Linked DNA regions of Diceros bicornis minor. The protein of the gene in region 3 purifies or fractionates together with the protein of the main gene of each other region. This does not show direct contact. Links are inferred from orthologs where the notes say so. Each region holds a gene or a part of one and is shown on either strand. Other genes may lie near its edges. The genes, in order: ATXN2, DCP1A, DDX6 and AGO2.

The links.
Region 1: the proteins of DDX6 (region 3) and ATXN2 purify together in Homo sapiens (affinity purification with mass spectrometry; 6 studies listed by BioGRID and IntAct, counting the BioPlex papers as one, with this or other methods). This does not show direct contact. The link is inferred for Diceros bicornis minor from reciprocal best matches to the Homo sapiens genes DDX6 and ATXN2.
Region 2: the proteins of DDX6 (region 3) and DCP1A purify together in Homo sapiens (affinity purification with mass spectrometry; 8 studies listed by BioGRID and IntAct, counting the BioPlex papers as one, with this or other methods). This does not show direct contact. The link is inferred for Diceros bicornis minor from reciprocal best matches to the Homo sapiens genes DDX6 and DCP1A.
Region 4: the proteins of DDX6 (region 3) and AGO2 purify together in Homo sapiens (affinity purification with western blotting; 5 studies listed by BioGRID and IntAct, with this or other methods). This does not show direct contact. The link is inferred for Diceros bicornis minor from reciprocal best matches to the Homo sapiens genes DDX6 and AGO2.

Annotation. Positions count from the first base shown.
Region 1 is NC_080774.1:9,832,710-9,840,403, forward strand, and holds the start of ATXN2 (ataxin-2), read right to left. Parts: upstream 3,002-7,694; 5' UTR 2,712-3,001; coding exon 2,479-2,711; intron 1-2,478. UniProt on the Homo sapiens protein: Involved in EGFR trafficking, acting as negative regulator of endocytic EGFR internalization at the plasma membrane.
Region 2 is NC_080741.1:53,869,171-53,876,289, reverse strand, and holds the start of DCP1A (mRNA-decapping enzyme 1A), read left to right. Parts: upstream 1-4,099; 5' UTR 4,100-4,123; coding exon 4,124-4,258; intron 4,259-7,119. UniProt on the Homo sapiens protein: Necessary for the degradation of mRNAs, both in normal mRNA turnover and in nonsense-mediated mRNA decay. Removes the 7-methyl guanine cap structure from mRNA molecules, yielding a 5'-phosphorylated mRNA fragment and 7m-GDP.
Region 3 is NC_080746.1:18,137,635-18,145,445, reverse strand, and holds the start of DDX6 (probable ATP-dependent RNA helicase DDX6), read right to left. Parts: upstream 3,005-7,811; 5' UTR 2,793-3,004; intron 2,746-2,792; exon of another isoform or gene 2,591-2,745; intron 2,288-2,590; exon of another isoform or gene 2,240-2,287; intron 2,104-2,239; exon of another isoform or gene 2,027-2,103; intron 1-2,026.
Region 4 is NC_080760.1:53,395,561-53,402,623, forward strand, and holds the start of AGO2 (protein argonaute-2), read right to left. Parts: upstream 3,003-7,063; 5' UTR 2,938-3,002; coding exon 2,916-2,937; intron 1-2,915.

The DNA.
Region 1 (7,694 bases), on a different chromosome or scaffold from region 3:
ATAAATTTTTGAAAGCCAAGAAAATGCACTATTCACCAAAAAGAATCAAATATGATGAGACGTTATATTATTTAAAGCAGACGTGTATTTCTAGACTTTCAAGAATATTTTGCCATCTCTAACCATGTCAAACCCAACGCTGCACTTCCTTTCTTCACCCTTGGTCCCAGAAACTTATTTTAACTGTTAATACAAACATAAGTGAGACTCTAGAAACTGTAATGGCTTACAAAGAACCCAGTAACAGTGATCAAAATTGAAAGGAATTCTACAAGTATATTAACTGAAGATCTGTACAAGAACAAAATTTCACATTATATGAATCCAATACATTAAAAAAAAAACCCCACATATTTACCAAAAAGAATAAGGGCCACAATTTATGCCTCAAGTAAAAGAACTTAAAGGGAGGAGGAATCTAAATTAACCCTAAATGTTTGCGATGCCTCAACGAACAGAAAAAGATCTGTGGTGCTACAACACTCCAAATATTTTTGATCACTCCAGCCGTTCTGGAACAGATTCTTGACAATTTTTAAGCCTAACCAGAGTGGATGCAACGTAAAAGCTTTAGTTCTAATTTTTAATTATTTGAACAAGTTGAATATATCTGCCAGATTTCTGATACCTAAGAAGGAAAAAATGGTGCATCCTTTTCTATAAAAATTACATATAAAATTTTTCCATTTTTCACTATGGAGTTGCAGAATCCTAAATGGAAAGAGCTGGGAAAATAAGCACTTCATTTGAAGTAGTTTGACTAGGTAGTAGTCTGTGGGTGCTTCAGAGAAGGGGGAGTCTGGGAGTGGGGGGGAGAGCACAAGTCAAAAAACCCATGTTCCCCCTCCTCCCATCGAAGGCAGCAGAATTCCTTAAAAATCAGCTCTGATTCATCCTGATGGGTAACTTCTCCTGCCATAAATGAAAATTCTTTGGAAATGGATTGCTGAAAATCGGTTTTCAAAAACAAAACTTACTGCATGAAAAAATCCCCTTACCCCACCTTCTAAAGCCCAGAATGTCTATTTAAGAAGGATCCTCTTTACTGACCCTGCCAACCCCGCCTAGACCTAAGGGAGGCATGGCAGTCCATGCAACACGGATGGGCCCCGGGGCACCGGGGAAATGGACTCGCGTGCCCTTGGAGAGCTCTGGCGGCACTCCCCAAGTTAAGGACACTGGCCACAATGGAATGGAGTCCATTGACATTTGTTGCCCCGTTTGAACACTAAGCATTTTCCTAGTTCGTGAAATACGAACTGACAACCACCCCCACACACACACCCCCAACAGGCCTTCCCGCACAAACACACCCGCCAGAGTCAGACCCGGTTAGCTGAGAAGACACTGAGCCCCCAGTGGTCTCTACCACAAACCTGGGTTATGGGGGCAGGAGGGGGAGACGACGCAAGTAAACATCCGCATTTCTGCCTCCAGGAACCCCACGATGCCCCCTGCTGCAATCCCTCTCCCCTTGAAATTTCAAAAATTGGGGCGGGGGCTAGGGAAAAATGCGCAACATGCCAGCTCCCTGCCCCCGCCCCCCACAATGTCCCCAGTCCGGCTGGGCTTCTGCAGCACGCCGGGGTCCGACCCTCGCCCACCGCTATTCCAAGGCGACTTCTCCTCCGCGGCCTCGGAGCAGCAATGCGGCTCGGCCGCCACCCGCGCCGGGGAGGCCTCGCGGGGGAAGGAGGGAGGCCGGGCGGGGGCCGGGCCTCCCCACCCCGTCCTCAGGTGGGGAGGGCGGGACGCTGCGGGAGACAGCACAGAGCCCCACGATTCCCGAGGAGTTCTGGAGCCTCGCCGACGCCGCGACTTAAATGGGGAGGGGTGCGGGGGGCCGCTGCCCACCCCCTCAACCTGGCCCTTCCATCTTCCCGGGGCGGGGAGGCGGGTGGGTAAGGACACTGCACAGACCCTCAAGACTCCAGAGGAGCCCTGCGGCTGCCCCTTTAACAGGCAGGGGGGACGCTGCCCTAACTCTCCCCCCTCCCTCGTTATTCCCCAATGGGGGAGTTGGCAAGTTTCGGGAAACGGAACCAAAACCTCAAGACCCTTCCACGTTAACATCCCAACTGGGGGTGGGGGCGCTGCCCAAGCATCCCCCCCCGGGGGCGGAGGAGGCTTGAGAAAGGTATAACAGAGCTGACACTCGCCGAGACCTGTGACCCCCTCCCCAGCACTTAAACGAGAGGGGGAGGCGGCCCAGGCCTTCCATCTTGACCGTTCGGCGGAGGGGGTGGGGATGTTGCAGGACGCCGGACACCGCCTGACATTCTCACAGGGAGCCGGCGGCACCCCCACCCCCCGCCCCCCCGGCTCTGGACGGCAGGGGAGCCCCACCCCCACTGCGGGCCCCCAGCCCACCCCCCCGGGCCGGCCGGTCACGGGGCGGGGACGGCGGTGCGGGCCGCGGGGGAGGGGACGCGAAGCCAGGCCGGCTCGGAACGGAGGGGGCTGGGGCGCGACACCCACCTGCCCAGGCCGGGCCGGCCGCCGCCTGCGCTCGCCGCCGCCGCCGCCGCCGCCGCCGCCGCGGAGGAGGAGGAGGAGGAGGAGGAGGAGGAAGCCACGGCCGAGGACGACGAGACTGAGGACGAGGACGGCGGCGGCGCGGCGGCGGGCGACGTGAGAAGGCCGCCGCTGGGCTTGCGGGCATTGGCGGCCGCAGGCTGCTGCTGCTGCTGCTGCTGGGGCTTCAGCGACATGGTGAGGGGCCCATACACCGGCCCGCACGCCGGGCGGGGACAGCCGGGAGCCGGGCGCGCCGAGGAGACGCCGGAGCGCGGCGGGGACGCGCGGGCGCCGAGCGGGGAGGCGCGAGCTGGCGCGGCCGGGGGGGCGACCGGGCCGGCGAAGGGGAGAAGGACGACGACGAAGGGGCGGGGAGGCCCGCCGAAACCGAGGAGCCGCCGGGAGCCGGGCCGGGCCGCGCCGCCGCCGTTGCCGTTGCTACCAAAACAGTCTGAGGCGGAGGGAGGCGAGCGCTGCCCGGAGGGAGGGGGGCCGGGGCCGGGCGGGGGAGGGGCGGCGGAGGGATACGGGCCCGGAGCCGCGCCGCCGCCGCCCCGCCCGCTCCGCCGCGCCGGCGGCGGGAGCGAGCGCCGCCCGGGCCACCTGGCCGCGGCCAGGCGGCGAGGCTCGAGGGCCGCCGTGGGGCTCCGAGGAGCTGCGGCCGCCGAGCGCATCGGGCGCCGGGCCCACAGAGGCGCCGCGTGGCGATGCCGGGTGGGCGCGGACGTGCGGGACGGGGATTCTTTACCGGAAGTCGGAAGGGTCGGGCGGAAGCAGAACGTGAGGCGGCCCGGGGCCGGGAGGGACACGTGAGGATCGGGCGCTGCGCTGGGCCGCGTTCGCGGGGGTCGGGTGAGGGCCCGGCGGCCGGCCCTGGCCGGATCCGCCCTCCTCGAGGCGGGTCTGCCTTTCAGAGAGGGCGTGTCTGTCTTCGCCTGCAGGGCCGGCCTAGCGTAGAGGACCGGAGGGAAGCGTTTCTTCCCCGCCTCCCGCCCCCCAATAGTCCATCAACGTCCTCGCACGGCTAGGAGAATCCGAGTCCGCCCTCTCGTATTTGAGAGAGCGAGACGGAGACTCAGATATTATCCGTGTGCAACAGGAGGTGTCGGCCACTGCACAGACACCTTGCTCAGCCCCCACCTGATGCAACCTAGAGGATGGACTGGAGTGCTTTCTGGGCGCAGACTGCCTTGCTCCGTATAAAGCACCTAGAACACAAGCATCCCACAGTTTTCTTTGTATTCCCAGCAGCTGGCACACAGTAGGCTCTCACGTGTCACTGGGTGTCTCAAAGGCAGGCTGTCCTCTCTTTCTGTACCAAGAATGGCAGTGTTGGAATCGAGCCACTTCCTGGGGCCACCCAGATCTGGTTACCTTTTGCCCACTTTTTTCACCCCAGTAACACAGTAACTGGAAAACTTTTGGGTATCTGACCTTCATTTGAACCCATTTCCCCTCACTTGGACTTCTTTTTCCTCATTCTTGAGACTCAAAAGGAAATGTACATGATTGGTAGAGTTATGGATAATAGCGGCTCCTTCGGTGGAGACAGCACAGACCTCACAAGAAGGTGCGCGCTTTAGACCTTGGCCCCTTTAGTTTTACTTTAACTTAGGTTGGTAGCCAGCACAGTAGTCCATTTTTTGACTGTGTTGCAATTAAACTGGAAGCAAGTAGATAACTTTTTGATTGTTTTGAGTAAGGAATCTAGTTTTTTAAAAAAGTGTAACGACTTCAGGAAATAGGAGGAAAATACCAAAATTCCCCTCAATCTCCCAGAATTGTCAGATAAAGGTAAAAACAGAAAAATTTGGAGAATGCTTAAGCCACGAGTCTCCAGTAGCCAAATTGAAATTAATCTCCAAGATAGTTCAGGCAAAAATGATCATTATATTCTGCAAACACTTGAAAAGTAGGAAATCAGCTTTTCTCCCAGATGAGGTAAAAGGAGGTTGAAGGAAAAAAAAAAAAAATAGTATTCTTTTAAACCAACGTTTGCAAAATCCTTTAAAAATTAACCCAAAGGAAATTGAGACTAAAAAAACGGATGAGGAAAAAAAAAATAGAAGGGCCATAATAGAAGTACAATCAACTTTCTCTGGTTTAATTATTTGACAGCTATATCTGGGACCAAGGTCCCAGAGTTCAATCTCAGGACCAAATTCCAGACAAATGGGAGGAAAAACAAGTGGAATAAGAAGGCCTGAGGCTGACGTAGCTGAACTTGATTTCATTTACGCTGAGAAAGCTCAAAGTTTCATCTACTATCACTGAAAATATATTGTTAACAGTTTTATTGAGGCATAATTTACATATTATGAAATTCACCCATTTTGTATACAATTCAATGATTCTCAGAAAATTTAGAGGGTTGTGAAACCATCATCACTAATTTCAGAATATTTCCATCACCCCAAAAGGATCCTTCATACCCATTTGCAGTGACTCCTCGTTCCCATCCTCAGCCCCAGCAACCCCTAATCTACTTCCTGTCTCAATGGATTTATCTGTTCTGGACATTCCGTATAATTGGAGTCTTACAATAGGTGGTCTTTGTCTGCTTTCTTTCACATGTTTTTGAGGTTTATCCACATCGTAGCACGTATCAGTGTTTCATTATTTTTTATCACCATGTAATATGCCATTGTATGAATATATCACTTTTTGTATATCTATTCACCAGTTGGTGGACATTTAGGTTGTTTCAAGTTTGGGGCTATTCTGAGTAATGCTGCTATGAACATTTGTAAACATATGTCTTCACGTGGACATATGTTTTCATTTCTCTTGAGTAGATGCCTAGAAATGGAATGTTAGATAGTATGGTAAATTTATATTTAACTTTTTTAAGATACCATCAAACTCTTTTCCAAAGTGACTATACCATTTTACATCCACGCCTGAAATATTGAGGGTTTATCATTAAAATTTGATTTCTGCTTTTATATTAAAACGGAAACCAAGAGAACCTCTACTATCTATTCTATTTTATACACTTCCCCATTTTTCTTTATGGAAGGAGGATCACCACCCAGAACCAAAAAATATCTCTTACTGCAAACCCCTCACCTGAATTCTAGACCTCTGAAGATGTGGTTATTTAACAGCAACTGTGATGTCAGAGGGCTTTAGTTTTATATGAAAAGAAGACTGGCTTTTGTTTTGGACTGCCCTCTCTCACTCACTTGCTTTGAAGAAAGGTGGCTGCCATGTTGTGAGCTGCCCTGTGGAGAGGCCCACATGGTAAGGAACTGTCGTCTCCAGCCACAGCAGCAAGGACCTGATGGTGGCCAGCAGCCAGGTGAGTGAGCTTGGAAGCAGATCACCCCCCCCCCCGCCCCCCCCCTCCCCCGTCAAGCCTTGTTGTGACTGCAACCCTGATCGAAGCACCTTAGTAGGCCTTTCCAGAGACCCTGAACTAGAGATGCTCAGCTAAGCCACGCCAGATTCCTAACCCTTTTGTTGTTTCAGTCAATAAGTTTTAGGAGAATTTGTTACACAGCAATAGATAACTGATACAGATGACCCCAAAAAAAAGTGCATTTCTGGTGATTTCCATGTGCATTCAGAATTCTTTAAAGACAAATGAAGTCAGGAACTAATAGTATATCCAGTATAAGTTACATTTTTGAGTGCTTCCCCCGGCCCCAATTTTCAGGCAGCCATTGTTGGTTTTGTTTAAAACCAACAAGTGTTGGGCCGGCCCCGTGGCTTATCGGTTAAGTGATCGCGCTCCGATGCTGGCGGCCCGGGGTTTGGATCCCGGGCTCGCACCGACGCACCGCATGTCCGGCCATGCTGAGGCCACGTCCCACATACAGCAACTAGAAGGATGTGCAACTATGACATACAACTATCTACTGGGGCCTTGGGGGAAAAATAAATAAATAAATAAAATTATTAAAAATAAATAAATAAAACCAACAAGTGTTGCTGAAGAGTTGTCATCAAAGGCCATGAAAAACACTGTCCTGAAAGAGTTCTGATATTGAGAAGTATTTCTAAAATATAAACTTCAAAAATAGCTGTGGCCGTTTCAACCACTATTTCAGAAATGAAAGTATCAAGTGAGAAACATATAGAGAAAGACTTTCAAACTTGGGAATCTAGTCTTATGGATTCTCTACTTGCTTTCTGATTTTCAATGACCCTTCAGCAAGGCACATGGCCCTTTAATTTTCATCACTTCAATGATTAATCAAGTCTGAGGATGTGGAGATGAAAAACTGATGTAGCCATGCAAAGCAGAAATGCGAAGAGTCATTTGCTATCACACGATACAGCAGCACACATCAGATGATCCAGTATTTCCAGCAATTCATTTTTCTGCAATCATTTCTTTTCAGCTCTCTTCATTCGATCATGTTTAATGTATGATGATACATTATTCACTCAATACTCTTGATTTTGCTTTCAAAAGCATGAAAATTAATTCAAATCAGAACTAACATGCACCCCCCCCAAAATCCATCCTCTTCAAGTTTTTGCATAGACCAATCCTCACTTAAAAAAAAAAAAAAAAAAAGAGCAGATGTAATTTCAAAAATAGGACCATGGCTAATTAAACCAGTGTTTTTTTCTAACCATGGTTACTCAGAATTCTTAGAGGCTAATCTATTTGTAGACACTCCAGGAATCCCAAAAGGCTAAAAGCAATAAAAAAAAAAAAAGAGAAAGTGTAAAGTGTGGGGTGCTTCCAGGAGGGCATTATGTACACACCTTGTGTGCAAAGTAACAACTTTCCCATAGGTTTGAAAAAACTGAGGGGGGGGTGGCAAAATAGTAGGGAACACAGCAACATTATTTGAAAAGCTTTTAAATGAGCCGTTTCCTCCACACGAGCACACTTCTGGTTGTTAAGTTGCTTAGTGTTTTTTACCTTGTGGGACAGAATAATGATGCAGTGACATTATTCACAAGGCAAAAGCTGGATGCCAGCTGAAATCGACACAGAAGAAAGAATTCTTTATTTTTCATTGGAAATGCTTGTGCTGTGCAGAGCTAGAAATTTAAAGAAACTCAGCCTTTTGTTCTTCCTGGTTCTCCCTTTTTGTTTTCATTCACCCCCTTTTTGGGGTAAATTTTGTGGGCAGGCTGTTATTTCAGGGCCCACAGATTTACGGAAAGCCAGAGATTTGAAGTATGCGCCATTTGGAGAATGCAGGAGGGGATTTAAA
Region 2 (7,119 bases), on a different chromosome or scaffold from region 3:
AGGCAAGGACTTTGGATTTTACACCAGAGAAATGGGAAGTCTGTGACTGACTGACAAAGTTACACAGCTGGTAAACTTGGAACTAAAACACTCATCTTCTGACTTGTATTCTAGTGTCCTTTACCTTAGACCCTGTGATTTTATTTTTCATTTTATTTTATTTTGTGAGGAAGATTGTCCCTGGACTGACATCTGTGCCAATATTCCTCTATTTTGTATGTGGGACACCACTGCAGCATGGCTTGATAAGTGGTGTGTAGGTCCACACCCAGGATCTAAACCCACGAACCCAGGGCCTCCGAAGTGGAGCATGCGAACTTAACCACTCCACCACTGGGCCAGTCCCTAGACCCCATGATTTTAAATGGTAAGTTTTGTTTTTTACCACAAAGGCACTCAGAATGAAAGAGAGGTGGGGTTGGATTGATTGGGTTTTTTTAGATTGTCATATTTTAAATTATTTTTTAAAAAATATTTTTTAAAAAAATTGACATTCATGGAACACAACTCAAAAGTGACCACAGGTTTTTCAGTGCAGAGTTAGACTCTTTCCCGCCTCTGATCCCAGCCACTCATCTCCCCTCCCCTCCCTCTAGTCTCTGTCATGGCCTTAAAGGAGTTGAGTTTCAAGATGACATTCATGCACCAATATTTACTGAGAGTCTATTCTTTGCCATGGGCTGTACTAGGTACTGGAGACTTAATAGACTAAGATGCAATCTCTGCCCTCTCAAAGCCTATTGTCTAAAAGACACAAGAAAGCTCTTAAGGTTTGATTCACAAATATAAGGCAAAAATAGGTCCCAAAGTAAAACAAGAAGATTTTCAATTCCAAAATGTTCACATTTTCTTTAACATATCTTAAGAGCTGCATAGGGCATTAAAGTCAACACTAATGTTTTTGGGTCATGCAAACAAGCATTTTGAAGCAATTTTCTATTCCAAATATGAAAACTCCCTAAAATAGCTTGGGGTTCTTCACTAGTTTATCCCTATTCAACCAAAAATAATAAATGAAAAGGAAATGTCTTCGATTACTTTAGGAAATCTATATAAGAAAAAAAAACTAATGAATAAGTCACAAAGATGTAATGTACAGCGTGGTGACTATAGTTAATAATATTGCATTGCATATTTGAAAGCAGCTAGGAGAGTGGATCTTAAAAGCCCTCAACACAAGAAAAAAATTTTGTAAGTATGTACGGTGATGGATGTTAACTGGGCTATTGTGGTGATCATTTTGCAATATATAAAAATATCAAATCATTATGTTGTACACCTGAAACTCATATAATGTTATATGTCAATTACACCTCAATAAAAAAATAATAACTTTTTAAAAAGAAAAAAACCTAAATTCAGTTTCATGTGTGCCTTTGGATTTTGTACCAAGGGAATGTATTACCTATTCAAAAAATACATATATATCTTTTTAAATCAGGGTACAGATTGAAAGTAGGTAGAGGGGAGTAGGGCTCTGTCTCCAGGAGGAAGAAAGGCAGCCATAGTGTGGAGGAAAGGACCCTGGGGTAGAAGGCAGGAGTCCCTGAATTCTAATACTAGATCCTCCCTGACTAGTGTGGAACTTTGAGCCAGTGATTTCTCCACACAGCTTCAACGAAATCATCTACCAAGTGAGGATGACCACATCTTCCCTACCTCACCATTAGACTGTCAAATGAAAGGGAGCCCTTGCCCTTCTTCTGTGATGAACTCCTACTCATCCCTGGAGCACTGATTCAAACATCACCTCCCCCATGAAGTCTTCCTAGACTTTCCTGACCAGATGACATTAGTGGCTCCATCCTCTGGGTTTCAAGAGAAATGTTTCTAGCATTGTCCCAGTTTCCTGACATTGTTCTACTTCTTTCAGTTTCTCCCACAGGCAGGAAGTTGTCTTAGTCTGTGAAGCTCCCAAGGGCTAACAGTTCACAATTAGAAGTTTAATAAATAAATACTTGCTTAATGAACAGTGAATGAATGGTACATGTTTCCTTGTCTGCATTTGTACACACTTCTTACATGTGATAAATAAATGAAAAGCAATAGGATATATTGGAGTATATGAGGAAGCCATTTAGTTTAAAACTAATTCTGCCTCACATGGCCTATTGATCATGCATTGTATGTCTGCTTTAAACATTTACTACATACCAAAGACAAGAATGATGCCCTTAGAGATAAGGATGTAACTTCCCCCCATACTGGCATTTCTAGAAACTAAGGATTGATTATCAACTTGCTGTGCTCACCTTGTGACCACTGACCTGCTGTGCCAGCCAAGCATCTCAGGACAGTAGTAAAAGAGATACTCCTATCATATGTAACATATGCTCTTTGTTCCAAGACAGTATATAACCACTCTATACATCCCACTTCTTAAGAGTGCTTCCTTCCTTGGGGAAGGCAGGCCCTGGGCTATAGTCCTCAGGCCTGGCTCATAATAAACTCACCCGAATTTTGATTATGAATCGTTTGTGTTGACACGATTCTGCAAAAAATGTAAGATATGAATGGATGTAAAATCATAAACAATACAAATATTATGGGCTTTTTCTTTCAAAAACGTTCAATTCCATTAGGGCATCTTTTCAACATAAGAAAATGTTTTAAACAACAACAACAACCGGGTGTGGGGGTGGGGGAGTGTACATGGAACAGAGATCTGTGGGAGATCAAGATTTGGCCACCCTGAAATCTATCTCTTTACCTTGGTTGTTTTCTCTGAAGGACATTTGACCTCCCCCACTAACTGCCTAAAGAATTTGACATGGTGGCTCCTTTCTGGAACAGATCTATCATGATGGTTGTAAAGATAACGTAGGGTAAATGTTACAATAGGAAAGGCACCAACAAGCCCCTCTTATCAGAAGTTCTGTCTCTCTGGCCACATTCTCTGGATAACCCTGCGAGGAGTTGCCAGACAATCATTTACATTTATAAGGGAAATCTCCATTTGTGAAGGTATCTCCCTCTCTGTTTGGAGAAGAGAGGGGGATGAGCTCATTTCTAGTGACTTATCAATGTGGAAGGTGAGGCCTTGAGTTACATAATAAACCTTACTCTTGTTTACTGTGCTTTAGTGGTAATCTCCTGTAACTGACTCCCCCCACCCCCAAAATCCTCCTTTGTCATTGGCTGAAAATGATATTTAAGACGAGAATTTCTGCTATTGTGTTGAGAAACGCAGTGTCCCTGCTTTCTCCCATGTATACGTGTTATTAAACTTGGTATTATTTTCTCCTGCTAACCTATCTTGTTGATTATTTGGCCAGCCAGAAGAACCTTAAGGGAAAGGGCAGAGGGAGATTCTCCCTCTTCCCCCGACAGCTCCCTATAGTCTCCACACCTTGTTTTACGCTTCAGCTAGTACCAGGCTCTTCGCTGTTTGCTAAAAGAATGAGTTATCTTTTTAAAGCTTTAAACGATTCACGACAAACTCAAGCCTCCACGGACTCTTCTCAAGACTGGATGGAAAGATTTCCGTAGGATTCAGACGAGGAAAATAAGCAGCAAGAGTGAACAGCACAAGACACTCCTGTGTAGTTACAGGCAGGTTAGTTTGGCCTTTTTCAAAAATTTCCTTCAGAAAAACACGACATTGCTAAGGTGGTGATCTAGTGAGATGCGAGATCTGGGGTAACTTTCTGGGTTCCCTCGCTCCCCCTCTCCGCTTCTCTGAGCTTTCTACACGGCCCGTGGAGCCCTGCAGGGCCACAGCGGGGTTTTCGTGCTGAGGCCACGGGCCCTTCCCGTGCGCGAGCCGACGCAGGCCCGGCGTCCGTCTCCAGCCTCGTCCGGAAGGAGCTCGGAGGAAGCTCTTGGGCAGCCTTGATCCCGGCGCCGGGACGTTTTAGCCCGCGGAAACCTGGACCTCCACCTGCCAGCTCTGCTACGCGGTCCTGCACACCGCACCGGGGCCTCTAACACCTGCAGAGGCCGGAACCCGCCGCCCGGGGCGTGGGCGCAGCGGAGCGTAATAGCTACGGTACCGCCCCGCCGCCAGGCCCCGCGGAGAGGCGGAAGCTGAGGGCGCTGACGCAGCTGGGGGAACTTTGCTTCGATGGCACCTTCCTGTCCGCTACTCCGCCCCCGCCAGAGGGGCTCGGCTCGGGAATTCAAGATGGAGTCGCTGAGCCGAGCTGGGCAGGAGATGAGTCTAGCGGCCCTGAAGCAGCACGACCCCTACATCACCAGCATCGCAGATCTCACGGGCCAGGTCGCTTTGTACACCTTCTGCCCCAAGGCCAACCAGTGGGTGAGTGCGGCCAGGCCGCTGAGGTCGCTCGCCCTGCCGCCGCCTCTTAAAGGGGCCGCGCGGAACGCCCTGGGTGGGGGGCGATGCGGGAGGCCAGGGCGACGGAGGCGAGGCCAGGGACTGTAGAATAGCCTGGCCGGCGCCAGAGGGGTGTCGGGGGCGCCCTGGATCGGGGGAGAGGAGCGAGAGAAGTAGGCCCAAGACAGGGGGAAAAGCCGATAGAGGGGAGGATTGGAGGAGAATCTGTCGCTTGGGGTCGGGTCCGGGGACGTGGGCGCCCTGCCTTCTTTGCAGGTGTGTTTTAGAATACGAAGCCGATGGGGTCAGAAAGATGCCTGAAAGATTGTTTGAAGCTTCGAGGGTTATTAAATAAGTTACATATGCATAACATATAAAGTAAACACCTCGTAAATACAAGCTCTCCCCGCAACAGACACATAAATAAGAGCCCCCTTCGCAGAGGTCATTTGGATTGAAAGCTTGAAATCCAATTAGTTTCAGTTCTTGGAAAAGGAGGTGGGGATAAATCCGGCTTTTATCGAACTACGCTGTGTTTCCCGAGTTTTGGAGAAGATTTCAAGGCACTTAGGAAAAGGGCTTCGTATTAACTGGATTCCTTTGAACTCTTTGGAAACGAGACCCTGTAAATGTGTCTCCTTTCAGCTCTGCTGCTGGTGATGTCACCTCTGAATGCTCCCATCAGACTAAGTACTTTTTGGCTTTTTTGCACGGAAGGGGGTCCGAAAAGTTACGTTCAGTCTGTTCAGTGACTTGTTAGCCCCTGTTTGAAGCTTCTTTCGTTGTTTAAATAATATAATTTCCCGTTTTCTCGTAATCGACCCTTCTTAATGAACTCATTCAGCTATAAGCTTGACATTTAGAAAATAATCCGTACATGTTTGTTGGATTGAATTCGTGAGTGACTGACGTTCACATTTCAGTAAGAAATGAAATCTTTATGTTAACAAAACTCTAAAAGATTGTTATTGTAATATGTCCTTTACAATATAATACAGATACATAGGTTATATTTAATCAGTAATTTTGTGAAAATCATTTGGCATTTATAGACGGTTAATTCAGGTGAACAGAGTTTTCAAAATCATCTTGCTTTACTTTTTCTTTCCTTCACCTCCTGAAAGAGGAGATATAGGAGGCCACAAATAAGAAAGTTATAGAATTTTTTTAAGTGTAGCTGTTTTAGACGTTGCCTTAGTTTGAATTGTTCTTAATCATTTTTCTTTTCTTGGTCTACCTATAAATTTGTGAAATATGGATTGCAGACAAATGGTGAAGACTTGGGGCAGGGATTTATTACCAGCAAGCTTTTATTTCCAGTTTTTAACAGACTTTCATTATTTTGGAATTTTAATTGTGGAGTTCTATTTTAAATATGAAATACAAGCTTTAATAACCTGAATTGAAAAATAAGCTGTTGTCGTTCATTTGGATCATGGCACATAGAGCATAACCAAAATCTTTCTTTCTTTATTATTTTACAGTGAGTTGTAACTTTGCACAGTGTTTTGTTTGGGCAAGTTTGCTTCCACTGTAAGACAGTTGATTACCAATTTCTTATACTAATAACTTGACATTTGAAAGGCAAGAAAAAGCCTCTGAATCCTTAGGAAGGAAAAGTTTCATGTGATATTTCAGCTAGGGCAATACTCCTGGAAGAAATCAAGATGATAAATATTTTTTAAAATTTTTTATCCCAACAAATTCAATTTGATATGACTAACATTTAAGGTTTTCTAGTAGTTTGTTGATTACATTAAAATATTTAGGTCCCATCCAGGCTGTGAACTGCAGACTATTATGGTTATTTGTTTCTTTAAAACATCATAACTGTTTAAAACCTAAGTACACTCTTATCACAGCAAGTGAAAGATGATATGAGTTGTACTTTCTTAATCAAAACATTTCACTTTAAGCTAAAAAAAATTTTTTAAATTATATGTAAGACCTACAGTAATTACATTAAGGCAGAGTATAGTTTCAGTATTCATAATTCTTCAACAAAGTTCTAAAAATAAGCTAAGCATTTTTGACAGTATTTCTTAACTAACCACGGAATTTGCTACTCATGAAAATCCCCCAATGATGAAACAAAGTGTCCTATAAGATAAAATTTTGTTTTTTTATCTTACTAACTTTGATAAACTTTAAAAGTGAAGAAATTGCTGTACACAGGACCTTGGCTTTAAAATTAAGAAATTTGGCTAAAACATTTTGGCTTTAAAAAGTGAAAGTTGGGGCCAGCCCAGTGACCGTGATGTAGTGGTTAAGTTTCAGCACACTCGGCTTCGGCAGCCCGGGGTTCAAGGGTTCAGATCCTGGGTACAGACCCTCACCACTCGTCAGCCACGCTGTGGCAGCAACTCACATACAAAATAAAGGAAGAGTGGCACAGGTGTTAGCTCAGGGCCAATCTTCCTCAACCAAAACAAAAAAAAGAGGAAGATTGGCAACGGATGTTAGCTTAGGACCGGTCTTCCTGAAATTGAAAAGAAAAAAGTAAAAGCTAATTCTAGGGTTTTCTTCTTTAAAATTTAAAAAAGGAAAAGAAGGAGCTAGGGCCGGCCCGGTGGCTTAGCGGTTAGGTGCACGCGCTCCACTGCTGGCGGCCCGGGTTCAGATCCCAGGCGTGCACCGACGCACTGCTTCTCCGGCCATGCTGAGGCCGTGTCCCACATACAGCAACTAGAAGGATGTGCAGCTATGACATACAACTATCTACTGGGGCTTTGGGGGAAAAAAATAAATACATAAATAAATAAAATTAAAAAAGAAGGGGCCAGCCCAGTGGCTAGTGGTTAAGTTCACGTGCTCTGCTTCAGCGGCCTAGGGTTCACGGTTTT
Region 3 (7,811 bases):
GAGCTTTTGACTTTATGCTTTCAGAAAAAACAAATTGTGCCCCTATGAATTTCAATTACAGAAGTTAAACTTGATGAAGAAAAATGCATTTTCTTTTTTCCCCAAAGTTTTTGCCCTTTAAAACAATAACTGAAGCAGGGATACAGACGTGCATACGTCAAAATTTTCTGACTTGAAAACCAGCCAAAAAAATCTTTACCTACCTTAATAAAATCTGAATACTAAAAAACTATTAGCTACATTTCAATATAACACTTTTCAAAAAGTATATCCTAACTTAAAACAGCATTACCATTAAAAAAAATTATAAACACACAAAAAGGAAATTACCTGTGTTAAAAAAAACTGTGAACAGCTAAACACACTAGTAACTCTAATCAAACTTTCCAAGAAAGCCAGAGTACCAATAGTTGTTTCCAAAACGAACTGGTCAACCTCCTCCATTTTTAATTATTCCTAAAATCGAATTCTTATTTTAAAATGTAGTAAATGAAAACTTAATTTACAAAGGCCTACTCTGTTGGGTTTGTTCTTTTTTAACTCCTTTACATTTCTTGCCAAAAAATACACTAGCTTATTAATTAGTGTTATTTCTGCCATACACCAAGGCTTCTCAAACACTAAAATTTTTCTCAAATACTCCTTCGGTGTGTCTTCCTTTTTTTAAAATTGAAGATAAAGTTGCTCACAAGCAAATCCTGATTATCACATACACAAAGCTGTATATTTGGAAGTCTCCCAGAATGTGGCTGGCTGAAGCAGACCGTGGTTAACAACCACCTAATTTCAGTTCAAGGCAGTAAATGGCTTCCTGTATTGACAGGTTTATATTATGATCAACAATATCACGTAGCTGTTTGCAAAGCACTAAGAGGATGAAGAGGGCAACCTCTAAAGATTAAATGGTATCATTACAGTCCATCATGCAAGACCTCATATCTCCCTAGATCCAAAATGTGACTGTGATAACTGCTCCTCTCTTAATTAAAATGAAACCTGCACTGCAGCTTTATGTCTCAGAGAAGGAAACATTCCTCCTACCTCTTCTCAATTTAGATTTGCAATTTAGATTTTCAAAAATACTAACGAAAACGTAGACTACTTGGGAGGAGCCCCTTGCGGAGTTAATTGCAGCACTTCCCAGATTGTAGTTAGCAACTGACAGTTTCAGACCCAAAACAGTATCGTCATCTCCAACAAAAGCTTTTGTTTGCAAATGCAGCGCAGTTTCTCTAAGCTTGGTCTGCAAGTTGGAGTGACTGTTCTATTCTGAGGGCAAAAGGGACTGTTAAGAGAAAAGGGAGTGAGCGTTAAGGGAAAGGAACAAGCCAATGATTTGAACCCCGTAACTGCAGGGCAGTAATTTCTTACTCCCCCCGTCCCCCAAAACACACACTTCAAGTCAGCTCCCTGCGACCATAAACACAAAAGGGTTGGGGCCCTACAATCGAATCTGCGCCACAGAGCAGGGAACCAGCCCCGCGGGTCGGAAATAGGGACTTCCCCTATAAGGCCCCAAAGAGAAATCTTAACTCAGAAAGCCCCTCCTTTCCTCTACGACTTGGGGCTCCATAATCACCCTCTTGTTATCGACCTACATACAAGGCCTTATTCCGATCAAGCAGCTGCCGGTCCTCTTCTAAACCGAGCCCTGCAATACTGCATATCCCTGCCGCCCCCTATAGGGCCGCCTCGTACCCTATAACCTCCACCGTCTCCCGAAGTCCTTGCCGCCCCCTATGGCCCCACATTCCCTCGTCTTCTACGAAGCTGCTCCAAGTACTTCGCCCGCTCCTTATCCGGACCCCGCCGCCACGACATCCCCATAGCTACTCCCCTCAGCGCCCCCACCCCACACAGCTGCCGCCCGCCGCTGGCCTTCCTCCCCAGGGCCCGGCCAGGCCTCAGGCCTCCGCCTCAGAGCGCCTCCCACGCCGGCCGGGGGGCTTTCCGCAGCCCCAGCGGCACCGCTGACCTCGACCCCCCCATCGCACCCCAATCCCCGAGGCTCGGGTCCGAGTCCTACCCCAGAGGCCACTCCCGCTCGGCACCCTCAGTCCTTTATTGTTGACTCGAAGCTCCCAAAATGGCGGCGGCTCCTTCCTCTTCAGAAACCTCCGCCCGCCCCCACCCGGCCCCTCGCCTCTGCCTCCGCCCGCCCCGCCCCCGCCCTGCTCGGGGGGCCGCTCAGCTGAGGAGCCCGAGCCTGCCGGTTCCCCGGCCGGCCGGCCAGCCCTACCTCCGCCGCGGCCCGCTCTCATGGCGCCGCCGAAGTCGCCGCCCGGGCTGAGCTAACTCGGCTCCCCTTCCCCCTCCCTCGCCGGCCCGCCGCCCGTCCCCCCCCCCCCCCCCCCCGCCGCCCTCTCTCCCTGCCTCTCCGCATGGCGGCGGCCGCGGCTCCTCCTCCTCGCAAGATGGCGAGAGCCCAGCCGCCGCCGCTGCCCCCGCCGCGGCGTCACAGCGTCTCGGGCTTCGCGGCAGGAGCAAGTCGGGCCGGGGCAGCTCCCTGAGAAGAAAATGGAGGGCCGTGCTCTCACTGCCCCCGCGGCCCCGCGGGCGCCCGAGTTAGGGACAGTTGAAGGGGAAATACCGAGTTCTTCCTGAGAGAAGGGAGGCCGCCTTTTCCACAGCTGAGGAGAAACGACTGGGGGATGGGGAGGAGTCCGCCCGGCCTTCGCCCCCTCACAGTGGGAATCGGGGGTCGAGACCAGAGGAGGATCTGCTTATTCCTGACCAAGGGGGCGTTCCGAGAACGGCCTTTCGGGGACCGGCTTGGGGACGGGAGAGCTGACCTGCCATCTCCCGTGGGCCCAGGAGGCTGCTGCAGGAACAAGGGGGCCGCGTCCGAGCCACTCCGGGGCGCGCCTCCGTCCAGGAACGCGCGGAACTAGTGGCCCGGAGGCACCGGTGGGCGCCCGGGTGTGGAGGGGGTATGGGGGGCCGGCCTGGACCGGAGGGCACGCCGGGGTTGGGAGGGGGCGTACAACCGGGAAGACCCTGGAGAGCACGCGGGGGCGGGCAGGGGAACGGGGTGCGCTGCGCTGGGGGGTGGGGGGGGGGGCGAGAGGGCGTGCCGATGGGCGGCCGAAGGGGAGGCCCGGGCTGCGAGGGCGAGCCGAAGGGGGAGGGGGCTGTTAGGGGAGGGCCGCGCCGCGAGGGCTCGCTGGTGGCGGAGGGCGGCCGGCCGGGAGAGCGCGCCTTGGGGAGGAGGCGGGGGCTGGGGCAGCGACCTTCCTTTCCCGGCCCCGCTAGGCCATCCTCAAAGAAAGGGGCGGGGGGGGGGGGGGAAGGCGGGAGAAGCCGGGCCTCTCCTAAAGGAGGGGAAAGCTGCTGAGGAGTCAGTTGTAATGGAAATGGAGTTCTTTAAGGAAATGGGGAAGCAGAAGGCTGAGGGTGATTCTTTCTCCTCCCTGACCCTCACTATAAAGATATGTGTTTGTTCCCATAAATACTTTTCATATCGTAATGTCTCCGTTTATCCCTAACAGAAATAACAGCAATGCTGTCTTGCTCCAGGTAAAACAAAAATTTAAAGCTAGAAAGCTAGCTAGGTCAAGGTAAAATAAAAACTGTTTATAAAGGACAATGCCACACCATATGTTACAACAGAACTCCGACCCACAACCTCTGCAGCAACCAGCTCGGGAAGCCAAACCACAGCCTCTGCAACGATCTGCGCCGAATCGGCAGGACTGGGTCGTTGACGGCCAGCTTCCCTAATTTTGCCCCTGCTTCCAACTCGGGACCAATCAGAGAGAGCCAAATATGTTCCCCAAACCAATCATATGAGAAGCCCCGCTTCTAGTTAGCCCGCCTCCAGCTTCCCCATGCCAACAGTCTCCAATCAGAGCGCACCTGGAGCCTGTCCCTTTTTTTTCATTGCCTGCCTGTGAGTCTTTACCAAACCAAGTGAAGGTGGCCGGCTCTCGTGTTATATAGCAAGCTCTGAATAAGTAGCCTGTTCTCATTTGGTGATCTTTGTTTATTTCCGCACAGCCAATGGAAAGTTGGTAGAAAAGTGTGAAAAGGCTGGTCTTACAATTTTTTAAGTTCTAGATTTGTAGCATGTCATCTCCCACCCAGATTTTAAAACACCCACTCCTGTAAGGGAATAACCCTGCACCTTGTGCCCGTACTAGAGAGAGGATAGCTGGATGGTTCCTTATTAAAATGTTAAAGCGTGAGGCCTTGTTTGCCTCACTGTCTTTCTAAGTAGCAGGAATGTGAACGGGAGGAGGGCAAGAAGTCAGTGGGAGGGAGGGGAACCTAAGGATTTAAAACAGGCCACTGCCTGTTAGGGTGTCTTTTCCTAGACCACTTAAGAAATGAGAGCAGGCAAAGAAAAGGGGTTTGCATTCACCAATATACTCTTACCTTTCAAAGGGGCCTGATTGAGGTCATGACAAAAACAAAAGTGAGGAGGCAACCTAAAGTAAAATATGAAATAGCTGCCCATTCTCACCTAGGAATCCTTCCAGGGCTAAAACCTTTACAGATTCTGCGTGAAGTTCTTATAACATAGTCAGATATCCTTATAACTCATTTATGTCAGCCCTTTTCAGATTTCTGATGAGAAGCATAGATGGTCTAGAATTAAGCTATGAACCCTTGGATATTTTCTTCTGGGATCAATTTTAGTATTTGATAGGTCCAATCCAACTATCTCAATACCTTTTTTCTCTCTAGTTCATGCAAATTAACAAGAATCATAGAAAATATGACACATCAGGAATACAGATGTATTATTTAATAATCCACACAACATCCTTATATTTATAAAATGTATATTTAAAAAATATTACATAAATCCAATCCTTTGGCCTTTAGTTAATATTGAGTATAATGGTTTCGGTGATCTGTGGTGAATATGGTTTCTAGAGGGTGTGCTATCCCCGGTGAGGTCACCTATTAATTGTGGTAAAGTGCTTCCCAAGATGTATTGGCCATTTTCATTTTGTTTTTAGTCACTCATTTCCCCCTTACCCTACTTTTTGTATTTTGAACTATGAAGCTAAAGTGTTAGGCCTAGATTGTTGGCTGGCTCCTAGAGAATCTGTCTGTAGGTAAGATATTTTAAAAAAGAAAAAGGTTCACAAATAGAATTGAGGTTTTCAGTATCTGTTTAAAACACAACAGGACTCCTTTTTTTTTGGTGAGAATGGGATGCGACTAAAAAAATGTTACTTGGAATTCAATCACAATAATGGGTCCTCCCAGCAAATATTGTTTGCCAGTCTCACATCCTATCCTCATTTATTTACCTAAAAATAACTAGAAGCAAAAAAAAAAAAAAAACAACGCAGGTTAACTTACACTTGATTTCATTTTAACTTTAATTTACAATATTTAGAATATAAATTCCAAGTAATTTGAATCTGGAATATGTACATCTGTGATACTATCTTAAAAACCCAAATGTTTTCAACATGCTAAAATGGATTTCACACTTTTAACTTTATATAATTAAGGAAACATAATAGCTTTTTTTAAAACTCAAACTACTAGCCATTACCCAGAAGAAAAAAGATTTGCCCGTACCATAATCTCAATAAAATGATTATATCACACCTGGCTAAGCTTTATAGTACAGCATTTTCCCTCTTTCATGATTTACAGTATAATATTCTGATTTTCCAAAAGAAATTTCAGCAGGTAAAGTTCCTTTCCAAATGTGCTTCAGCAATATCTGATAGTCACTAGCCAAGAGTAAAGGCTAACAAGCCCAAGGAGCTGAGTATCATTTTCTTTGGACTTCATAGCAGGCCAAAATTGCCTCTTCAGTTTATACACCTAAAGAAAATGAAGCAATATCAGCCTACTGAGGGCTTAGCAAAGATATCCTCAGAGAGGTGCCAGTACTGCACTGAAGTTAATGCATACTAAGCGGATGTCTTTAATCACTGAGAGACCTCACCAGGCACATTTTGTTGGAATAAATGTTACACTTCCAGAGTAAACTCAAGTTGAAGAGTAGAAAAGGAAAATTACAAACAGGGAGGAAAATGGGGTTAAACACGTTTTCCCCATACTGCCAAGTTTAGTTTGCAGAATTTATATTCCCTTTGACAGATAACATCTCCCTATTCCCAGGGCACCACAACCAGCCAACTCAGCTCGCCAGATGTCTTTTGGCCCCACCAGTTTTCAGCATTGTTTATGTTCTAGTCATCACCCAGAGAATTCCAGCTATTCATTTTGCCTCTTCAGTTTTCCTAAAAGTACTGTGCACCAGCAATTTTAACTTATTCATTATTATGAACATAATGTGTGGCTGGGAAGACACTGGAATCTGGAAACTAGTTCTTTAGGTATAAATTTAATTTGGTCTACTCAGATCAAGAAAGATCTAACACCGTCCCAGTGTATGATGCTTTGGTCCCGTTGGGTACTTTCTGAGTGAGTTCAGGGGTGGTTGCTGATGGGTAATGTTGATGGGGGTCCGTGACAATCTTATGGAATTGTCATGGTGTTGGCATGTGTGTACCATGCCTCCTTTATACCCAGGACCTTGTAACAAGATTATATTTCTGAATAGCCTTCTCTACAGGGATAGCAACAATTGTGACCAGGTGTCCAGTTCAGGTTTCCTTCCACTCATCAATTTGCAGAGCCTTTTATTGGTCTTTGAAAATAGAATTGTGATCTTAGGTATGAACCCTGGGAAGGTAGTTTATGGCTAAAGAGTGGGCAACCTCTTCAATCCTGAGTGCCATGTTTGGATTAAGTGACATCTGTGGCCACCAAGACAAGACAGGGAACAAAGGGAGAAAAAAGTATTTCAATGCAGAGGTCTTCTCAGTGACCTTCCTAGCTCTTCATCTCCTTGATGAATTTTAAAGATTACTCTTTATCATGTCAACCACCCCCTAAATAACCCTTTAGTGTCTCCTAGTTTCTTTTTACCACATGGAGTCTACACTCCATTGACAGATGGGGACTGCCAATGTGCCTACCCCATCTAATTTCCCACTCTTCCTCCATCCTCCAATACATTGGTCTGCTAAGAGGAGAACATTCTCTAACCTTCCATTGTTTCCCTTAGAAACCCTCTCATCTCCTTTCCTCTGGGCCTATCTAAAGCCCATTCAAATCCTAGCAGATTCCCACATGCAACTATCTTTTCACCTTCCCAGTCCCATGCTCCTGCCCAGCCAGCGCTCGGGTTCTAGAGTCAGTTGGATCTGGGTCAAATCCTAGTTCTGTCGTTTATTAACTCCATAAACTTGGGAACCTTTCTGAACTTCTGAGCTTCAATTTCTGCATTTATAAAATAGGGATAATAAGACCTAGAGCTATGTAAGAGTAAATGAGAATTTGTATAAATCACTTATTTTAGTAGTTGGTAGACAAATCACTTGGTGTTGCTATTATTACTTTATTAACTTTCATCTGAACCTGTTCTTATTCTGTCAGATTAGAGCCTATTCTGTTAGGTTGGCCAATTCAATTATTTTTCCCCAGGCTCTATCATCTCTTACTTCTTTAGCCTAGTGCCTTACCAACCTCAGTGAATAAGTGCCACTCTCTAATTTCACAGCTTCTGTTCCAGGAGTGTTGGTGTTGGAGAGAGCTGTGTAACCAGGCTGATTGGCTCAACAATGAATTCCTGCTCCCACACCTCAGCGGAGCCCTTTTTGTGGCTCTGCAAGCCTCTTACTGGTGGTTCTCAATCATGGCTGCTCATTAGCGTCAACACAGGCGCTGGTGCCTGGGCCCCATCCCAGAGGAATTAAATCAGAATTCTTAGGGCTGGGAGTCTGGCATCATTTTTTAAGGCTCCCAAGAAGATCCTAATGTGCAGCCAAGGATGA
Region 4 (7,063 bases), on a different chromosome or scaffold from region 3:
AATATTCTGCTTCGTAAAACCATACAGGTTTTAGGAGTCAAAGCTTTGACATCGTTTTTTCTTACACGCTTATTTAAATCGTTCTTCATTTATAACAGATCCAAGAGGACTCTGCCCAACTCCCCAGCCATGCCTTCCGGCAGCAGGCAGCAGCTTCACCAGGGGCATCTGCTGCAGCGAAGGTGCACCATTATCAGGGGCCCCCATCATATCTCCACTGAGATAAAGGGGGGTGGGGTGAGAAGTTGGTTGTGGGAGGAGTTAAATGGCACTAGAAGGGACAGCGAAAGTCCATTACTCTCAAAGTCACAACCCTGTTTAGACAACTCTCAAACAAGACTTAGATGTTAACAGAAGTTAACTACAGAAGTTACTTTGTAGCAAATCTGTCAAGGGTGTAACACACAGGAATTTGAACACAGTAAAATGAAAAGAAACAATCTGCTTGGAGTAGGCTATTGCTCAGACACAGTTTAAGATCTCTAAGTGGTTTAAAAAGAACTAATGTTCATCTATGAAGGTTCAGGGTCACTGAGAGTCTACCCATCCTAAACCACTAACTCCTTGGAACAGTTCAAAAAACTAAGAAACAGTAACATACCTAACTTTAGAATCCAGATATTAATTCACATCCATAATAGCATCTGTAATGGGAATATCACAGACCTATTGTCAACTCTATTTTTTAAATTAATTTACTTAGTAATTTGCTTAATAAGTGTATTAAAATTGGAAGTAGCAAAACTACTTGTAATTTCCCTACAATCCAGATTGAATGTCTTTTCATTATTCTAAATTAGGAAATATAAGATTAAGAAGACTTTCGTTGAAGAGATTCTATTCCAAAAATTCCTTTTCAACAAAATTAAAAGCCTCAGTGTGTAGAATAAAATTGAACTGTACCACAGCCTTATAACTACAGCACACTTGTACAGCCCGAAATTTGGGTTCATTCCCATCCTGCCATTAGCTAAGAACTATCCTACAGACCTATTTATTTTTTCAACCCAAGCTGTCGGACTCCAGGGCTAGTTCATCTGTGAATCGTGGGGCCCCACCACAATGCAGAGACCGGCACCAGAGCAAGATTCTTCCAAAAGCTGTTAGGGACCAGAAATGAGCCTGGAGATCCAAAGGCTTGAGGCATTTTTAAAAAATGAAACAGACGAGAAAATATGCCCACAAGGAGCACACAGTAAGCTAAGTGTGCTTCCTGAAGCTCGTTTCCATTATTCCTGAGCGAACGGGTGCAGTCCAGATGTAACAGGTATTTCCTACTGTGGGTCAAGGTCAAAAGGAGTGACAGCCACTTCTCTAAGGAGAGTGTAGAAAAAGGCAGCTTGGGATCAGACAGATCGTCCTAATGCTCACTGGACATATGACCTTGGCAAGGTTGTTAACCTCTCTGAGCCTCTGTTGGCTCTACTCACTCAACTAGGTGAGGGACTACCCTGCCATTTCACGGGTGGGGTCGCTGCCAGCCCACAGTCTCAAGAAGCCAAATCTGCCCCCAGGACTGTGACAACAGAGCCCAGGGCCCTTCCCCACCAAGGCTGAGTCACCTCTCAGGTGTAGGGTTAAAACCATTCTTCAGTCAAATTGCTGAGAGCCCTTAAAAGTTGATCAGGTTCAGCCTGGGAGCAGCTTTCTACGTAACATCGGAAACAAGACACTCAGAACTCACAAGGCATAGAGCTGTTTGTGAACAGACACAGCGCGGGACAACGTCAAGGCCCCCGAGTGGATCAGGAAGGGCTTCCAGACTCCCAGTTTGGAGCAGGTCCCACCAGGGCCCCATCAGCAGGAGGCCCCGGAGGGCCGGGAACCTGAATGCACCTAGCACGGGGCCAGGACCAAGCCGGGAGCACGGCGGGGCCTGCAGCCTGCTCGAGCTGGCGGACAAAGAGGCGATGCCCCGTCCAAGTGGCAGGGCTAGCCGGGAAATTTAGGAGCCACGTGCCTGGCGGGATAGGGGGGAAAAAGCTTTACAACACTTGACCATTCTCTTGGTCCAGCAAGTCAACCGCCCTTCCACTCTACATTAAGGGAAAAAAAAGTGTTACTGCTTTAAGTTTTTAGAACTTTTCCAAAGAGAGAGAGGCTGACTAGTAAGAAGGGGTGCTAAGGAGATCCACACATCTCCTTACCTTCTTCTAGTAAATTGTAAAAAGCAATTAGCACTTGAATAAGGAGCCGGCGTGTCTGGAATGAAAATGAGATGCACGCACTTTCAGGGTTTTAGGGTGCCGCTTCCTGTCCCTCAGTCTACAGTCCTAACTACCAAGAGGAATTGGCCAAAATTCAGCATTTCCAGACTTTCCTTCAGAAAAGGGGCCGCAGAAGTGCTGGCAAAAAGAAAAACGAAACTGAGTGCGCTCCAGGCTCGCCGCGGCTCGGTCTGGCGCCGGAGCCGCGCGTCCCTCGCCCGCCGCCCGCACCCCGAGCTCGGCGCCCCGACCGGGACTGACCCCCGCGGGCGCTCACGGCCCGGGCCCCGCCGTCCCGCCGTCCCGCCGTCCCGCCGCGCGCAGCGGGGCCCGCGCTCCGGGCGCAGGAGGCGGCGGCCGCGGCCGGCAGGCGGGCGCGCGGGCCTCGGGCCTACACGCGGGCGGCCCGGAGCGGCCCCCGCCCGGGAGCCCGACGCGCGGACGGACACGGGGGCGCGGGAAGGGCCCAGGCCGCGCGGGGACCCCGACGACTGGAGCCCGAGGAGGCCGGGCTGCGCGGCGGCGGGGCCGAGGAACGGCCGGCGGCTCCGGCCCCAGCGCCCCCCGGGCCGCCGCCGGCCCCCGCCGGCGCGCCCCCGGCCCCGGCCCCCGCCCGCCCCCCGGCCCGCCGCCCCGGCCCCCGCCCGCGCCGCGCTCGCGCCCGGCCCGCCAACCGCCGCCGGCGCCGCGGGGAGCGCGCGGACTCACCGGGGCCGGCTCCCGAGTACATGGTGGCGCCGCCGAGGGGCTCCGCGGCGAGGGGCGGCCGCGCGCTCCACGGGCCCCGACGCCGCGAGCCGCGAGGGAGCCGCCGGCCGCACGATCCGCCCCGGCGCGGCCGCCTCGCCAAACAGGTCTGCCCGACACGGCCGGGGCGGCGGGCGGAGGCGGCGGCGGGGGAGGGGCGAGGGAGGAGGACGGAGACGGGGAGGAGGGAGGGGCCACGGGAGGGGGAGGAGGAGGGGGACGAGGAGGGGGACGAGGAGGAGGGAGGGGCGACGGGGAAGGACGCGGGAGGGGGAGGAAAGAGGGGAGGGGGGCGAGAAGGGAGGGGGCGAGAAGGGAGGGGGAGAGCGAGCGGAGGTGGGAGGGGGTGCACGGCGCGGGCGGGGCGGGGCCGGGGCGGGGGCGCGGGAGCTGGGGGCGGGCCCGGACGGGGACTGGGCGGCGCGGGCCGGTGTGGCGCGGAGGCCCCGCCGCGGGGGCGGGCGCGGGGCGGGGGGACCCCGCGCAGCCACTCGGAGGAGCGACGTCTCCTCGGCTGGGCGGAGCGGGCCAGCGCGGCTGTGCTACCCGAGACCGGGAAGAAAGAAAGGAAAACACACCCCCGTTTCCCCCGCGTCTCCGGCGCGCTTGGGGAGCGCGTTCTGGCTGCTCGCGCGGTGGGTGGTGGGGTGCACGACCCTTCGCCACCTTCACCCCCACCCGCCCGGGGGAACTGGGGCACAGTGTTGGCCTGGCCTTGGAGTCCGCGTCCTGGCGCCCCAGCATCTCAGCCGAGCTTTTTTTTTAAGTTATTAACGAAACATGAACGTCGGGAAGCTTCCTCCCGACCCGGAGCTTGAACTTGAACGCTCCCCGGCCCTTGCATACTACCACAGCGCCACCTCCCGGCCAAGAACCCAGATAATCCATGTAAAAATAGTATTACGTTTTTGGTAGATTTCAGCTGCTATCAATGGTGAGCTCAAACTAAAACTCCCTCTTCCGGCGCTCAGGGGCCTCCCCACATTCTTTCCCTGGGGCCCTTAGCGGACCCCATCACGCTCCTCTGCATTTCTGTTCTCTCCCCACGTGTGCCAGAACGTTCTCCCCTCTACCCAAATCCTCCTCCATCCTTCAAGTCTCCCTCCACAGGTTTTTGGAGCCTTTTCCAGGGAAACCAGCCAAGGATTACCTCCTTTCTCCCCTAATTAGTGGGTGATTAGAAGTCAGAGGGTGAAATAAAATCCAAAGTTGGTCATCATCTTTTTAACATACTTGCCTGCTCATTCCTAAATCCTATAAACATGTATTATCTGCATATTGGGTGCAAGGGACTGTGTGTTCCTCAGGCCTAGAGTCATACAAAGATGAACAGGAGTCCTGTCTGCAAAGAACTTAGCATCCAATAGGTTTATTACTTGTTCTTTGCAATCCTCGAGGACATCCCTAAATAAGTGCAGGAAAAGCAGCCTTTCCTCCAGAGAGGAACTTGCAAGGATATCCATCTTCACCAAATCATTGATGTGAACGGGATTCCATCCCATGGCATCGCCTCCAGGAAGCCCATCCATCCTCTCTAATTATCTGCCCACCACCTCCTGGACCGCCTGAAAAGCCCCTTACTGCTCTGCACCCACCAGTCATCTGTGAACACAAATCTGATGTTGTTCCTGCTCTGCTGGGAACCCTTTGTTGACTCCCCATTTCCATCTGCATGTGGTCCAAAATCTTTAATTTGGTTTACAGTGCCCTGTGTGACACAGCCCCTACCTGCTTTACCAGAATCTTCCACTTCACCTTCTTCTTCAGATCCACATCCTCACTTTCTCAAGAGTGTTACTGTGGGAGTGTGAATTAGTACAACCATATTGGAAAAAGAAGTTTGGCAGTGTCTGTAAAAGCTAACCACACGTGGCCCTAGGGAGATAGGCTGCTGAAATGTGGGTTTAGAAGCACAGCAAGCCCGGAGAGGAATGCACACTAGCACAGACCTGGGTACCACCAAAATATCCATCGGCCATTGAGTAAGTAATAAGAGCGATATATATTCATGAAGTGGGATCTAGTGATGAAAATGAACACTCTTCAGCCAAGTGCAACAATATGGATGAACCTCAACAATGTTGCGTGGAAGAATCCATCAGCCATACTGCATGATTCCGCTTACAAAAGTTCCAAAACAGGCAAAATTGAACTACGTTGTTTAGGGACACATAATTAAGTAGCAAAAAGCTAAAGAAAAGCAAAAAGGTAGTTTCCCATAAGAGAATGATGGCTACTGCTGGTGGCGGGCAGTTGCTGTGACCAGAGAGGTGGGAGGCCCTTTGGGGTGCAGGCTCCTCCCTGTAATACTGCTGTTCATTTTGCACATCTCTTAAGCTGTACATATTTTATATACTTTTCTGTACCTTTGCTACGTTTCACAATAAAGAAATTTAAAAATAATAATCATGAATGTTATTAGTCTCTTATTTATGAGCCACGTGACTGCCAAGGGCCCACTCTCTGTCTGCCTCTGTCTCCCTCACACATCACCATCCTGTTTTCTGCCCGAAATCACTGAACCACTCAGAGGCTGTTTGCTACTGTAATCTCTAGCCTCAGAAAACGCCCAGAAGGCTCTGTAATTGTGTCCCTCCAGCTCCGCCTTCTGCTTTTTTGAGCACACACACTGGGTAACTTTGTTGCAAGGGTTCCTTTGCAGAAGGTCGAACAAGATAATGTCTCCTCAGCGCCTGATTGTGTGGCTTCTCCGCGGAGACGGAACATTCGAGGCCCCCTGCTGGTGAAGCAGCGCCCTCGCTGCCTGCACCGGCCACCTCCAGGCCTCCCCGGAAGCCCAAGCAGTGTCTGAGTTGGAGTTCTCCCTCCCCCGCCACTAGCAGCAGGGTTCTCCTTTGTCCTTTTCTAGATAAGTCCACCTCTCCCAGACATCCCCTTCTACTGCTGGTGTTGAGGAACCCCGCCCCCTTTCTGCAGCGCTCCTCCTCCCACCCACCCCCAAGCTTCAGGGCCACAATGCCAAACCCAGTTCATCTTTTCTCACCTCCTCCCAGTCTGCCCTTTCCCTGTGTTCCCGAGCATGGCCAACAGATTCACCATCCACCAAAGAAACCCCAGGCCCCTCTGCCTTCTGCCTCTCCCGAAATCGCTGACTCAACTTAACCCATTTAACGGGGTCCACTCAATTCTCGCTGTGAAATGTCTCTAGAACCCTCTCCAACCCATTGCTGCTCTGCTCCTCCAGGCCTTCATCCAGCACTTGCATGTCAACCACATAGGGCCGACTCTGAGGCCAGTCTTTCTCCCAGATACAATTCATTGCTTTGTATTTGGGGATCCCTATGCTCTGATAAGACTGCAGGAAAGTAATCAGAGCCAGAGACCCCAACACTGGTCAGCCCCAGGTTTGCACATTGGGTGCACCCAGTCCAGAGCAGAAATGCCATAGGAAAGGCAAAAGCTGTCACCTTTGGGGTCCCTTAGTTTCTTCAAGACTTAAATGTGGGCACCGGAATAAAACAGTTGATCCAAAAACATGTTCTACATGTGATAAAAGAGGGGTTAGGAGGTCAACCAAATTGGGAAGCATTGAGTGCAACAACACTAAACAGATTTATTGGCTGCAGACCTTCTCAGAGCCTTTAACAAAGTATTAAGAATCATGATTCTACAAACAGGAAGGAGGGGAATAGATGGTATGCAGTCTGTCCCAACCCACTTGGCCACAGAACCCTTTAATCACAGGGTACCTTCAGGTTCCAGGGAACACACTTTTGGGAAACACTGAGGTAGAGCTCTTCTATGATGCCTTCCAGTAATAATGTTCTAAGATTCTTTGAATAAAAGTATTGGCTGTTTTTCTGAATTAAAAACTCAAGAGCATGGCTGTGAATTGACAAATACTTCTGTCATAGTAGGAACAAAATACACATCTAAGCAATTTCTACACACTGAACCCAACATTAAATGGAAACCACTTAATTTGAATACATAAATCACTTTGTCATTTTGTGCACCCAACAGAGGCTAAATCAAGAACTCTGAAAATGCAAGCAATCAGAGCCACCTCCTTGCACAACCCCAGGAGGCCACTGACACAACAGTGCTGCAGAGGGTGTCATTTACTGGCATACAGAAGTGCAAAAGGG